3 linked regions of the Xenopus tropicalis genome follow. The protein of the gene in region 1 interacts with the protein of each later gene in a pairwise test. Links are inferred from orthologs where the notes say so. Each region holds a gene or a part of one and is shown on either strand. Other genes may lie near its edges.

Evidence for each region.
Region 2: the proteins of prkab2 (region 1) and cdx4 interact in binary tests that used the Homo sapiens proteins (3 or more experiments, as listed by UniProt). The link is inferred for Xenopus tropicalis from reciprocal best matches to the Homo sapiens genes PRKAB2 and CDX4.
Region 3: the proteins of prkab2 (region 1) and stx11 interact in binary tests that used the Homo sapiens proteins (3 or more experiments, as listed by UniProt). The link is inferred for Xenopus tropicalis from reciprocal best matches to the Homo sapiens genes PRKAB2 and STX11.

Annotation. Positions count from the first base shown.
Region 1 is NC_030680.2:118,092,557-118,096,315, forward strand, and holds the start of prkab2 (5'-AMP-activated protein kinase subunit beta-2), read left to right. Parts: upstream 1-1,571; 5' UTR 1,572-1,676; intron 1,677-3,509; 5' UTR 3,510-3,524; coding exon 3,525-3,686; intron 3,687-3,759. UniProt on the Homo sapiens protein: Non-catalytic subunit of AMP-activated protein kinase (AMPK), an energy sensor protein kinase that plays a key role in regulating cellular energy metabolism.
Region 2 is NC_030684.2:47,047,536-47,051,294, reverse strand, and holds the start of cdx4 (homeobox protein CDX-4), read right to left. Parts: upstream 2,583-3,759; 5' UTR 2,449-2,582; coding exon 2,010-2,448; intron 1-2,009.
Region 3 is NC_030681.2:45,305,604-45,309,362, reverse strand, and holds the start of stx11 (syntaxin-11), read right to left. Parts: upstream 2,226-3,759; 5' UTR 2,171-2,225; intron 2,030-2,170; exon of another isoform or gene 2,005-2,029; intron 1,727-2,004; exon of another isoform or gene 1,702-1,726; intron 1-1,701. UniProt on the Homo sapiens protein: SNARE that acts to regulate protein transport between late endosomes and the trans-Golgi network.

The sequences.
Region 1 (3,759 bases):
GCTAATTGCACTGGTTTCAAAGCTGCCATGTAATGTGAATCTGAATAAATTACTAATCGTCCCTAAGCTCAATAACTGACAGCAGCAGCAGAATATGGGCAGTGAATCAGCAGAGAAGAAGATGGGGACCAACTGGGGTATTTTTGGAGGCACATATCTTCCCTGCCAAAAGACTGTGGTTGTCTCAGGCTAGTAGAGAAGCCCAAATCTCTGCTATTGCGGGGACTAACTGCTCCGAAATGCCTTTTCACTGGCAACTAACTCGCTCCATGGGTCCTTAGCCTAAAGGTTCATACCTTTATTACTCCCCCTGATGGTAGCCCTGACATTTCCACTTCTTCATTTACTGATGCACCATACACCATGGTGCATCAGCTGCTTTGTTTTTTAAACCTACCCATCCATAACTGGGCCACCATCTGCGCACACTGAAAATCATTTCATATATGGTTTTATCAGTATGTATATGGTCAGCTTTGCTGGTGTCAGTTACAGTACTTTATGTGGAGGCTTGCCATATTAAGTGGCATTGCTAGTTTTATGGTAGCGTAGATGTTTCGCTTTAACCTACCTCCCCAGCTTTCCAGGGGCAAAAGATAGATACAATCACACAGGACATATTACAGCAGTTGTTTTAGATATTTACATCAGAGATTTCCAAAAAGCTCATTGGAGAATTTCAAATATATAGACTGTAAGCTCTACGGGGCAGGGACCTCCATCCTCTTGTGTCTTTGACTCTTAACTTATTGCAACTGTATTTATCTTGTATTTATTGTTATACTTTGTATTTATCGATTATCTTAATAACCCCAGTTTGTATTAATGTATTCTACTGTACAGCGCTGCGTACATAAGTAGCGCTTTATAAATAAAGATATACATACATACATACATACATACAAATATTTACTTTAGTGCTACTGTTTATTTATGTTGTAAACTGAACGCTTTTTTCTTTACATACCTACTCCATTAGTGGTATGTAGTGTGACCAACTGCACTGGCTGCTTATACTCTAGCACCAACCGACAGAGAGTCATTTTCACAATATTTTTGTACACTCGCTATTGCGTATAGCGGGGAGGGCATTTCCCGGACACAATAATATGTTATACATTGTATTTATCTATTAACTTAACCCCCTGTTTGTATTAATATATTCTACTGTACAGTGCTACGTACATAAGTAGTGCTTTGTAAATAAAGATATACCTACATACAAACAATAAGGCCCTGTTTCTGTGCAGAGCAGGTTATAATGGGTTAACATAACCCTAAATACTCAGAACAACCCACTTGAACCGGAAACAATGACTTGCACAACTAGGCGTATGTATTAAAAGATGATTTATATAATTGTTATATAGCACGTTGGAAACGAAAACTAAATCGCCTTGGGGGATTTTTGATCCAGTGCTTATAGGGTTACCCGTGCCACAAGCCCTACTTTCCCCTCAGCTTCCCTCCACTAGATGGCAGAGAGATGAATCGCTGATGCAGGCCTGTTGCAAGTGGTGCTGATTTGCCCGGCTCGTCTGCCACACAATCTATTTGCTGCGTGTGACAAGCGGCTGTGCAATGTGTCACGGTTAGAGCACAGCTGAGAGCTATTCCCGGCATTGCACAGGGGCTACCCCGCTCACTCCAAGGGAGAGGGACCTGCAGCAAACGGGGTAAGTTTCCTTAGCATCCTACACTACATGTCTGTTAGTAAATAGGGTACATCGTTCTGTGTAATTATTACTCAGCAAATGACATTAGATGCCAGCGCTGGGCGCAGGGCATTATGGGAATATTTCCTTGTCAAGTTGTTGTTGTTTCCCTCCTGGCTTCCTTGCTTTATATTTCTATTCACTCTCATGTAGTTCCTAGGTAACTGCTCTATAATATACAGGTCCTTCTGATGTGTTAATATTAAATAAGTCCTGGGTGATGCCTATTGATATATGTATTGTACTAATAAAAGGAGCAATGGAATAAAGTAGCCTTTGTGGTAAGCGGAATGGAGTTAGAGGGCAAAGTAATTCTGTATCATGGCACTGCTGTTGCCATAGTTATTATACACAAGCTGCTAAATGAACTGCAGTGCTTTGCTCTAAGGAGCTCTGGGTAATATGTGGTAGCTGCTGTGTTTGTATATAACTAAACCCCATATTCTAGTCCTTGTGTTGTGCCTGTCACTCTCTAGAGATGCTGCTGGCCAGTAAATTACTGCTAATTACTGTGTCCTGTTTCCCATTAGGCTTCCTGCCAGGTGTCGGATTTACAGACACTGCGATTTTATGTCCCAGAATAGTGAAGAGGTTATTACTGTATATTTGAAAGTTACTTAGTACATTTTGTTTCATTATGGAAGATTCGTATATTTGGGTTCACATTTCCTTTAAAACACAAGCTCCAACACGTGCTCAGACGCAGCAATTTCGGCCACACTCACTAAAACCTATTACCAATATGCTGTTATCCTGTGCAGAGAACTGAGCCCAAGCCTTGCTACTGACGTGAGATTGCCTCAACCTTTAGTTCCTGTGGAGATCCCATTCAACAAATAGAATGGAACTGGATTTATAGAGCTGCTTTTTTCTGGGGATACAAAGTACATCTCCAAAGTTATGGCAGCTCTGTTTGGGTGCAATAACTGGAGCAGCAAGGTCACAAGGATCTAATGCTGGGATACATGAATAGGTCTCCATCTTGAGATCAGATGTCACTGTCCTTGATCTCATGAACCAAAGAGCCAGCTACATATAGAAAAAAACTATGTAATGATATAAAGCAAAAAAATAAGGAAAAAATTAATATACAAGGCATGCAAAGCTAGTATGGATTAGGGATACAATACACATATACAATTGCTTATTGGTAGGAGGCAATAAGGGAAGGGCCATTCCTGTGTGAGCTTACAGTCTAAGAATATTTCCCATTTTTTGTAAATGATAAAAGACAAAAAACTGTAGTGAATCTGTAGTGAATAGCCTTATTATTATTTATATTTTTTATTATTATTATTACTACCCGGTCCCTGCCCCAGTTGAGCTTACAGTCTAAGTTCCTATCAATGATATCAGTAGCCAGTTCATATTTTTGGAGTGTGAAAGGAAACTGGGGTACCTGGAGGAAATAACACAAGCATGGAAAGAACATACAGATCCCATGTGATAGAGCCCTTCATTCATTCCAGTAAAGGAGTGAGAATGAGTGTTACAGTTACCCATTGCTTATTTTTCTTTTTTATTTCTTAAACTCCAGGCACTCTGAGGCTGATATATATCATACTGAGGTCATTGTCTCTCCTTGCATTGACTTGCATTGCACATTTCTAGACACAGAAGCTGTGTAAAGATAAACCATGCTTTCTTTGCATAGCTTAAATAAGATATATGATTCAAAATTAAAACAATAGCCTGAGCCATATTAACCCTATTTATTAGTTGTACTTTTGGCTCTCTTACATATTTCCCCTTCATATAAAATACACTTTACACCACAACTTGTTTGCTTTGCAGTGGCCTGAGCCAAATATGGGTAACACAGCAAGTGATCGCTTATCTGGAGATCGGCATGGCAAGTCCCACCGTGCAGATGGAGCAACTGGGGGACACTCTACTAAGGAGCATGAGGAAAACAAAATCATGGTTGGAAGCACAGACGACCCAAATATCTTTAGTACTCAAGAATCTAAGGTATTCCAATGAACTGAAAAGCTATATGAGACTGGAGTGGGAATGTGATCTTTTAATGCCATAGGGGTCATTT
Region 2 (3,759 bases), on another chromosome or scaffold:
CCACTCTTCACTTGCATAGGACTTCTCTGGTAAAACTGCCTGCTCTTCCAAAATAACCAAATTATTCAGCAGAGGTTCCCATTCGTTATTCAATATGTCACTTCCTAAATTATTTTGTATTTCTCGATGAAAAAGTCCAGTTTGTATGTGTATATATATATATATATATATATATTTATTTCTGTCCATAAATGCCCAAGGCTGGGCATTGCTGTCTAACATCAGCTTGATATGCTCAGGCGGGATATTCCTGATCATTTTGTTAGGGAATTTATACTCAGTGGCCTGTTACATACATCAGAGGGAATTTAGGTATTTTACTTACATATATTTTCTTCTGGTTGCCTTTCTGCTTTAATGTAAAAAGGTAAACCTAACCCTATAAAGAATCATATAACAAATTATTAAGGAAGCTGTACGTAGTCCTACCTTTCTAAACAACAGTTTAGCCCACAGCCAACAGTCAGATATTATGCCCATTAGCCTAAAAAGCAGTGAAGCTAGTTCATCTCACTGTCACATCTCAGGATGCCCCATTTACCCACTAAGAAGGGGCATATTCAATTTTGTTTTCATAATATATGAGATTAAAGCAGTAGCCAGAGACCCTCACTGTTGAACATTAAAAAGCCCTATCCTAATTGTTAATATATAATTATATACGCATAACTACATGTACATACAGGCTGTGTACAATAAATTTGACTAAATCCACACACAAAGACTAAAATAAAACACCCCTTCACATTAATTTTTAGGGCCAGTGGAATATGTAGCATTTTGTCTGTGTTTAAAACAAAGCAACACACCAGGAACTGCCTCAGATTGCATGTCTATAGTTGCAATAAGAAAAGTGATTTTTAGTATCTCTATTATGAAGCAATCTGGGATAATTCTTAAAGTGTTGTCTCAGTTTTCCCCAGAAAAAAACACTCACTGAGCCAAAAGGCTTGTGAGCCATTACCCTTATTTAATAATGAAACACACCATGCATTTAGACCCTCACTGGCACTCATCACATATTTATATGGGCATACATCAGGCCTTTTGACAGGATGCACAGCTTGACCATATTCCACTAAAATGGTCAGTTGACAATTTTATAACCAAAAATATGCATTCCTAGAGCTATACTATAGTAGTCAGTTTTTCTATTCAGCTTCATATATATATATATATGTAGTTAAATACTTGTCTTCACTCACTGTTCAATGTAAAGTTTATTTAGAATACTAAATACAGGTATGTATAATATGAAAGCAGTGTGGTTTCTTTGTAATAATATTCTGCAGGGAAATAGTGATGTTCCCTGTTGATCAAGACAGGCACATTTGTTGTAACTCTTTTTTAACAAGAATTGCAGTGTTTTATTAATGTTACTAATAACAATAGGAGATAGCCGTTAATGTACTCGGCTACACTATCTAATGTTAAAAAGCACCCTAACTTGCTTTGGCTTATGTCAAAAAAGAAATGTGACTGCTGCTAGTTGTTGATAGGTTTCATTGTTTCTTACTAGTGCCATAATATTGTACTTGCCACATTGGAATCAATAAACTCTATTTCTTGCCAGCTACAAGTAGTAATTTATAATCTCTCTGTGTAAAAAGAGCCTACTATGTCTTTTTCCTACAGTGTTTTAACAAGGGAATTTTGCTCATGTTTACTGTTGCTTTCTATGGGCAATCGTAGAAGGGATATAAACATTATAATACCAGGATTATTAATTTGGTTATGTTGCTTAAAAAAAGCACAATTATTTCCTAAACAAAAATAAAATTTAGGGGGAAAAAAGAAGAATATATTTATTTACGAGAAGAAGTGTTTCCACGTGGCCTAAACATTTAAAGGGTGTGCCTAATATATATAACGTGGAAAAACACATGCAAATTTTTATTTTTCAAGTGGCAACTTGTAGCTCCATTTTGGGTATAATTATGCCAAAGGTCAAGATTTTAAGCTATTTTTAATCAGTTGAGCAATGATTCCCTTTGTACAATTTTTCTTACCTGTAGAAGTCGATTGCACGGTTTTCCCCATCCATTCATAAGAATTCTGGCTAAGATCGCTGGGTGAGTTGGCAGCTGTGTGAGACAAATCTACAGAGTGTAAAATCCCAGTGCCGGATGGATGCGGGGAGCTATAGCCAGAAGAATTATAGGCAAATTGGTTAGGTGATAAGTCAGATGATTGTGCCATATTTGTGTTGGAAGGTCCAGCTCCATAAGAGTTCCATTGCTCCCTTGGTGAGCCATACTGAGGTCCCCAAACTCCACAGGGCTGCCCTTGTTCATCCATAGGTGGAACATGATGATATGTAACATAGTTGAAATAAGGTTGGTTAGAGGCGTAATTCTGCGCTGAGTGGTTATTGCTGGCGGATCTTACAGAAAGTGGATACATGGTAACGTCCTTGTGCATAGCCTGTCTCCCACATGTGATGTTCATTCCTAGGCGAGATCCTTGGTGGTCATCTTTATCCTCAACCCTGTTAAGAATACTTCTGCAACTATGGTGCCCAGTAGTTCAATATGAGAGTTGCGATACAAATGACCTCTGTTAGGCCGGTGCCTTGATGCTACACATGACTAACAATGCTGTGGCCAGGTGCCTGCAGTCACAGCTTACTAAAGCCCAGTCTGATGTCAGAGATAACTGCCTGCCCCCCAGATACATTTGCATTCAAATGAAAGGCTGGACATCCCAGTTCCATCACCTTGTTGCTACTTTCAGTGCTTCCTTTTTGACCGGAGCCTTAATGTAAACTTTCCCACATCCACTAACAACTACCCAACCACATTCAGCTACTGTTTTAGTCTATTATGCACAGTATAAAAGCATTAAAATCTATTACATTAAACAAAACCTTGATTGCAGGTGTAAAAAGTAATGCCAAAGTCCCAAACATTATACTGAAAATGTTTGATAGTCTTAAGAGAAAATAAATACATTTGCCTCCACTCTCTGCTCTGGGGGCTTTATGTACAAAAAATGTTATGTACAAAACTAATGTTTGATTTTATAATATAATTACTGATAGTAATGAACAACCCTTTAGTTGCTATGTTATATAGGAATTTCTGAACTAATGAACTGACAATTACTATTCTAATTTGTTAAAGTAGCACAGTCATTCACTCCCTATTCCAGTGGAGCTTGCAATCTAATGTCACATGAACTCTCCATCTTACATTTTTATTAAATGATTTCCTTTTTCTCTGTAATAATAAGGCAGAACCTTGTACTTGATCCCAGCTAAGATATAATTAATCCTTATTGGAGGCAAAACAATCCTATTGGGTTTAATTACTATGAATCTGAATTATGGAAAGACCCCTTATCCGGAAAAACCCAGGTCCCAAGCATTCTGGATAATGGGTCCCATACCTGTATTGTCATATTCTTGGCAAATAGTAATACGATCAATTGTTCTCTAGCTAGAAGGTTTACAGGAAAACTCCTATCTTGTACAGATGATCATTCAGTAATCATTTAGGACATCATCATTTGTAAAGGTCGAATCACACAATATTCAACTATTTGACCCATGGGCCAATCAATTCGCCTATCCAACATCTCTTACTGTAAGTCAGTCTGTCTATGGCTACTGATTTCTATTGCATTGGTGGAAACTGTACCGTAGGAGCATAGTAATTTTGATGTGTTTGTGCTATAAGAAATCTCCTATTTATTATATGTTCTATATTATACAGAACAGCCCCAATTTTACACCCCAAATTTCATGGGATGTCAATTTTT
Region 3 (3,759 bases), on another chromosome or scaffold:
CTGAGCAGCTGGTCGATTCATTTCCTAGAGAGTGTTGGGCTGGGCATTATGCAAGTTTGTAATAAGCTGAAGTTCTTATTTATGGTGATCCTCCAGCCTATCATAACATTTATCCTTCCTCAGTCCAGAGTGCTTAAAGGGGACCTGTCACCCTAAGAAATAACTCCAAATTATTTTCTATATTGTTAGTTGAGCAAAATGAACTTTACTTACTCTATATAAATAATATCAATCTTGTTTCTTTCCGTCTTGGAATTACTCAATCAAAGCAAGCAGGCAGGCACCATTTTGTGGACACTGTTATTAAGGCAAGCTTGGTATCATGCCAAAATCTTGTTTATATGCCAGAATGGGGGACCTGATGCCCAGGCCCTTGCACTGGCTACACAATTAGATGATGAGGAGGGAGGGGAAAAGTGAGATGTGCAGTGACATCTAGGTAGTGCTGAACGAAAAGCTAAAGTTATTGTCTGCCCCGCCTCTATGCCTAAGGCATAAAGGCGGGGCAAGCAATATATGATTGACATCTGGGATTTTTAAATGCCTCTATAATGGGTTTGGATGTGTTAATATAAAAATGAATTTGGGTTTCATGTTTAATTTGAAAAGGACTTTTATTATACAGCTTTTTATGTCTGGGTGACAGGTCCACTTTAAGAAAATGCAGGAACCAAAAGGGAACCACATCAAAAGATGTGTGTGTTATCAGTTGAGGATATGTCAGTAAACACAATGCAACAGGGTTCCTTTGATGATGGTTATAAATTCCTTAAATAATATCCAAGTTGCACAAGCTCTCCAGCATCAATGATTCTGCCTTCCTTTATGATAAAACAGTCTTTTTCTCTACATAAATACATGGGCATGAAAGTCAGTTTGTCACTTCATCTAAGCTTGTGATCGCTATAGAGGTTGTGCTGAATGGAGCTAACCATATTTATTTAAACCTGCAGAATATTCCATATGCATTTTACATAGCTTCCTATGGTATAAATCAGATAGCTGGATTGTCACTCTTAGATGGTGGGACAGAAGCTAACAGATGCCAGAGAAGATTCTGTGATGTCATTTTATTACAGGTCTCTGCTTGCAGCATAAAGAATATTCTGAAGCTGCATTCTCAGCCTGTCTGCCCTAATTGCTTACTAAGTTTAAATCTCTTCATACAAGGCTAAATATGAGTGTTTGGCCAGGGTGTCAGGTATAACCTCCTTAAAGGCCAGTTTACCCAAAATGTGCTAGACTACAAAGCAAAAAAACATTTTACAAATGGTTTAAGTATAGTGGGAGCTGTAGTCCAGCAACTTCAGGGTGTGTATGCTAGTTCACAATAAAAATCTACCCAGCTTTCTAGGACCAGTGACCCAAATTAATATGCAAAGTAATCCTCCAATAAGAATCCCTTTGATTAGTCTCCATGTTGTTTGTTTTGTCACTGTAATTGGAAGCTTTAAACAAACCTTTTCTATGGCAGAACTACACAGAAGAGCATCCTCCCTTGTGATGCTACAGTGTGATAACATAACAAAATGACATAATGCTGACAAACAGCAATCTCATTGGTAAATTCTCTTGCATCAGTAATTAGTCATGTACTTAAGAGAAGTAAGGGACACAGTGAGAAAGTTTACAACCTCTTTAAGCTCCTTTCTATTTAACCTGCACATTTCTGATCTCCTACACTCAGAATCATCCTCTCACCATTTATGCGCAGTCTCGGCCACAAACCTGTCTGTAGCTCGCAGGCCACAAATTAAATCATCTTCCTTACAAGAGCTTGAAAATACCCTCACTGGTGTATAAAAAAGGAGTTTGCTGCACCTGCACAAGCAAGTACTGTACTACAACTCCCACAGTGCCCAAACTGCTGCTATATTTGAACTACACAATTTCCCACAACCTTGTGACAGATTACTGTAGTACAAAAAGGGCTGAAAAGAGGGGGCAACTGAGGACTAGAAACATATTATTATTGCCAAAAGGAAACACAGGGGGTCTTATAACCAAAAAGGATGCTTGGCTTCCACACTGATGGTACAATGTACAACCTTAACAGCACAAAGACACACTTTCACAAAAAGAAGCACAATGTTTCTCTAATCATCATAACGACACAAGTTTACAGGGTAATTGGCCCATCTCCAGCAGTCTGCCCCAGTTCAGCACACACCTTATTTTCCCAATCAGGTTCAGCTGCGAACAACTCCTGGCCAACAAAATGAACTGAAAATTCTATTCATACAAAGCAGCTATATAAAGCCCGGACGGGCTGATTGTTTCTGCTTCAATTTGTAGTAATGGACTTTCTATACGATTATGCAGCACATTATTGCTACGGCATCACTTATTCATTCAGGGGTGTAACTATAGAGAAAGCAAATGCTGTGACTGTTGGGGAACCCAGGAAATATGGGCGCCCAGAGGGGCATAGATTGATAAACTCAGTCTCAGTATATTTTTATAAAAAATACATTATTGCCAAAGTGGCAAATGACTTTGTTATGGGGCGCAGAAACTTCAAGTCTCCCCACTGACCTGTCTGTTAAACTTTCTGTCACTCTGAAAGTCATGTGTTTGATTATCCTTTATATCAGCCAGTCTCGGTTATCATGTTATATACTGTCAACCTGCCCTGTGCAAATTGTCCATCAGATAACCAGTTCTTAACAGTGTCTAAGGAGCTGGCCCCACAGGAAAATGCACCTAAAGCAACAATGCATGCACTTACCTTTAACCAACTGCTGGGTATAGGTGAACTCTTGCTTTGTAGCTCCTTAATTCTGTATTACAGAGCTGGGAAACTTTTCAAGCTGATTGCCTTCAAGCCTCAAGCCATGCCCATGCTGTGGCACTCACACAGCCTACTTCCTCTTCACTCACAGCGAGCAATAGACAGGCGGCTGCTGCTGCTGTTGTGCTGCTCAGTGGGAGGTGAAGTGTCAGAAGAGGAAGCAGGGTGAGCACATGCACCATGTGAGTAAGCAGGAGGTGTTTCCATCTAAATGAGAAGCAGATAATACTTAGAATTTCTTTATTGGAAAAGAAATGATTCAGAAAGAAACCTCCAGGAAAACATATAACTACTCTGTAAGTTTTATCCACACAGACCTGGCCCTTAAACATCCCTCATCTGCCAGATTAGTCCAGTCCATACTTTTATACCATACCCTGTAGCTTTTCTTTTTAAAGGTTTTAGTATAAAATAGCCAAATAAACATACATGTATTTGATTTTTTTTACATTAATGGTGTGGGGGATTCACAAAGACAGGCACCTAGTGTACACTGGTTCTGTAATATATTTCAACCAAAGGCACATTAGGCACAATCAGTTAAAGCATTACATGCAGGATTATGGAATGTCCCTTTTACACTATATATTTTTTCTTTAGAGAAATTTTGATATATTTGTGCCCATATGCACCCCCAAGGGTGGCCCGTGTGCATGCCTGTCCCCTGACCATAGGTACGTCTGCGCTAGGTAAGGTACGGATCTATTCTTCGCAGAACTGCCTTCAGGTTAGCTTTTCTAATGTGTGACCTGTGCTGCTGCTGCGTGAGGTACCACAAACAAGGGGTGTGCATGGCAGTTTTTCTTTTTCTGTACAGACATGTCAACTCACACAAGTTTTCAGGTTTCACCCTATTTTTGTTTCTCTCATCTGGTCACCAAAAGTAGCAACCCTAGCCAGATTCTACTGCCTGTACACTGAACAGCAATATTATACCTTATAAATGATATATGGTGGTTTATAAATTG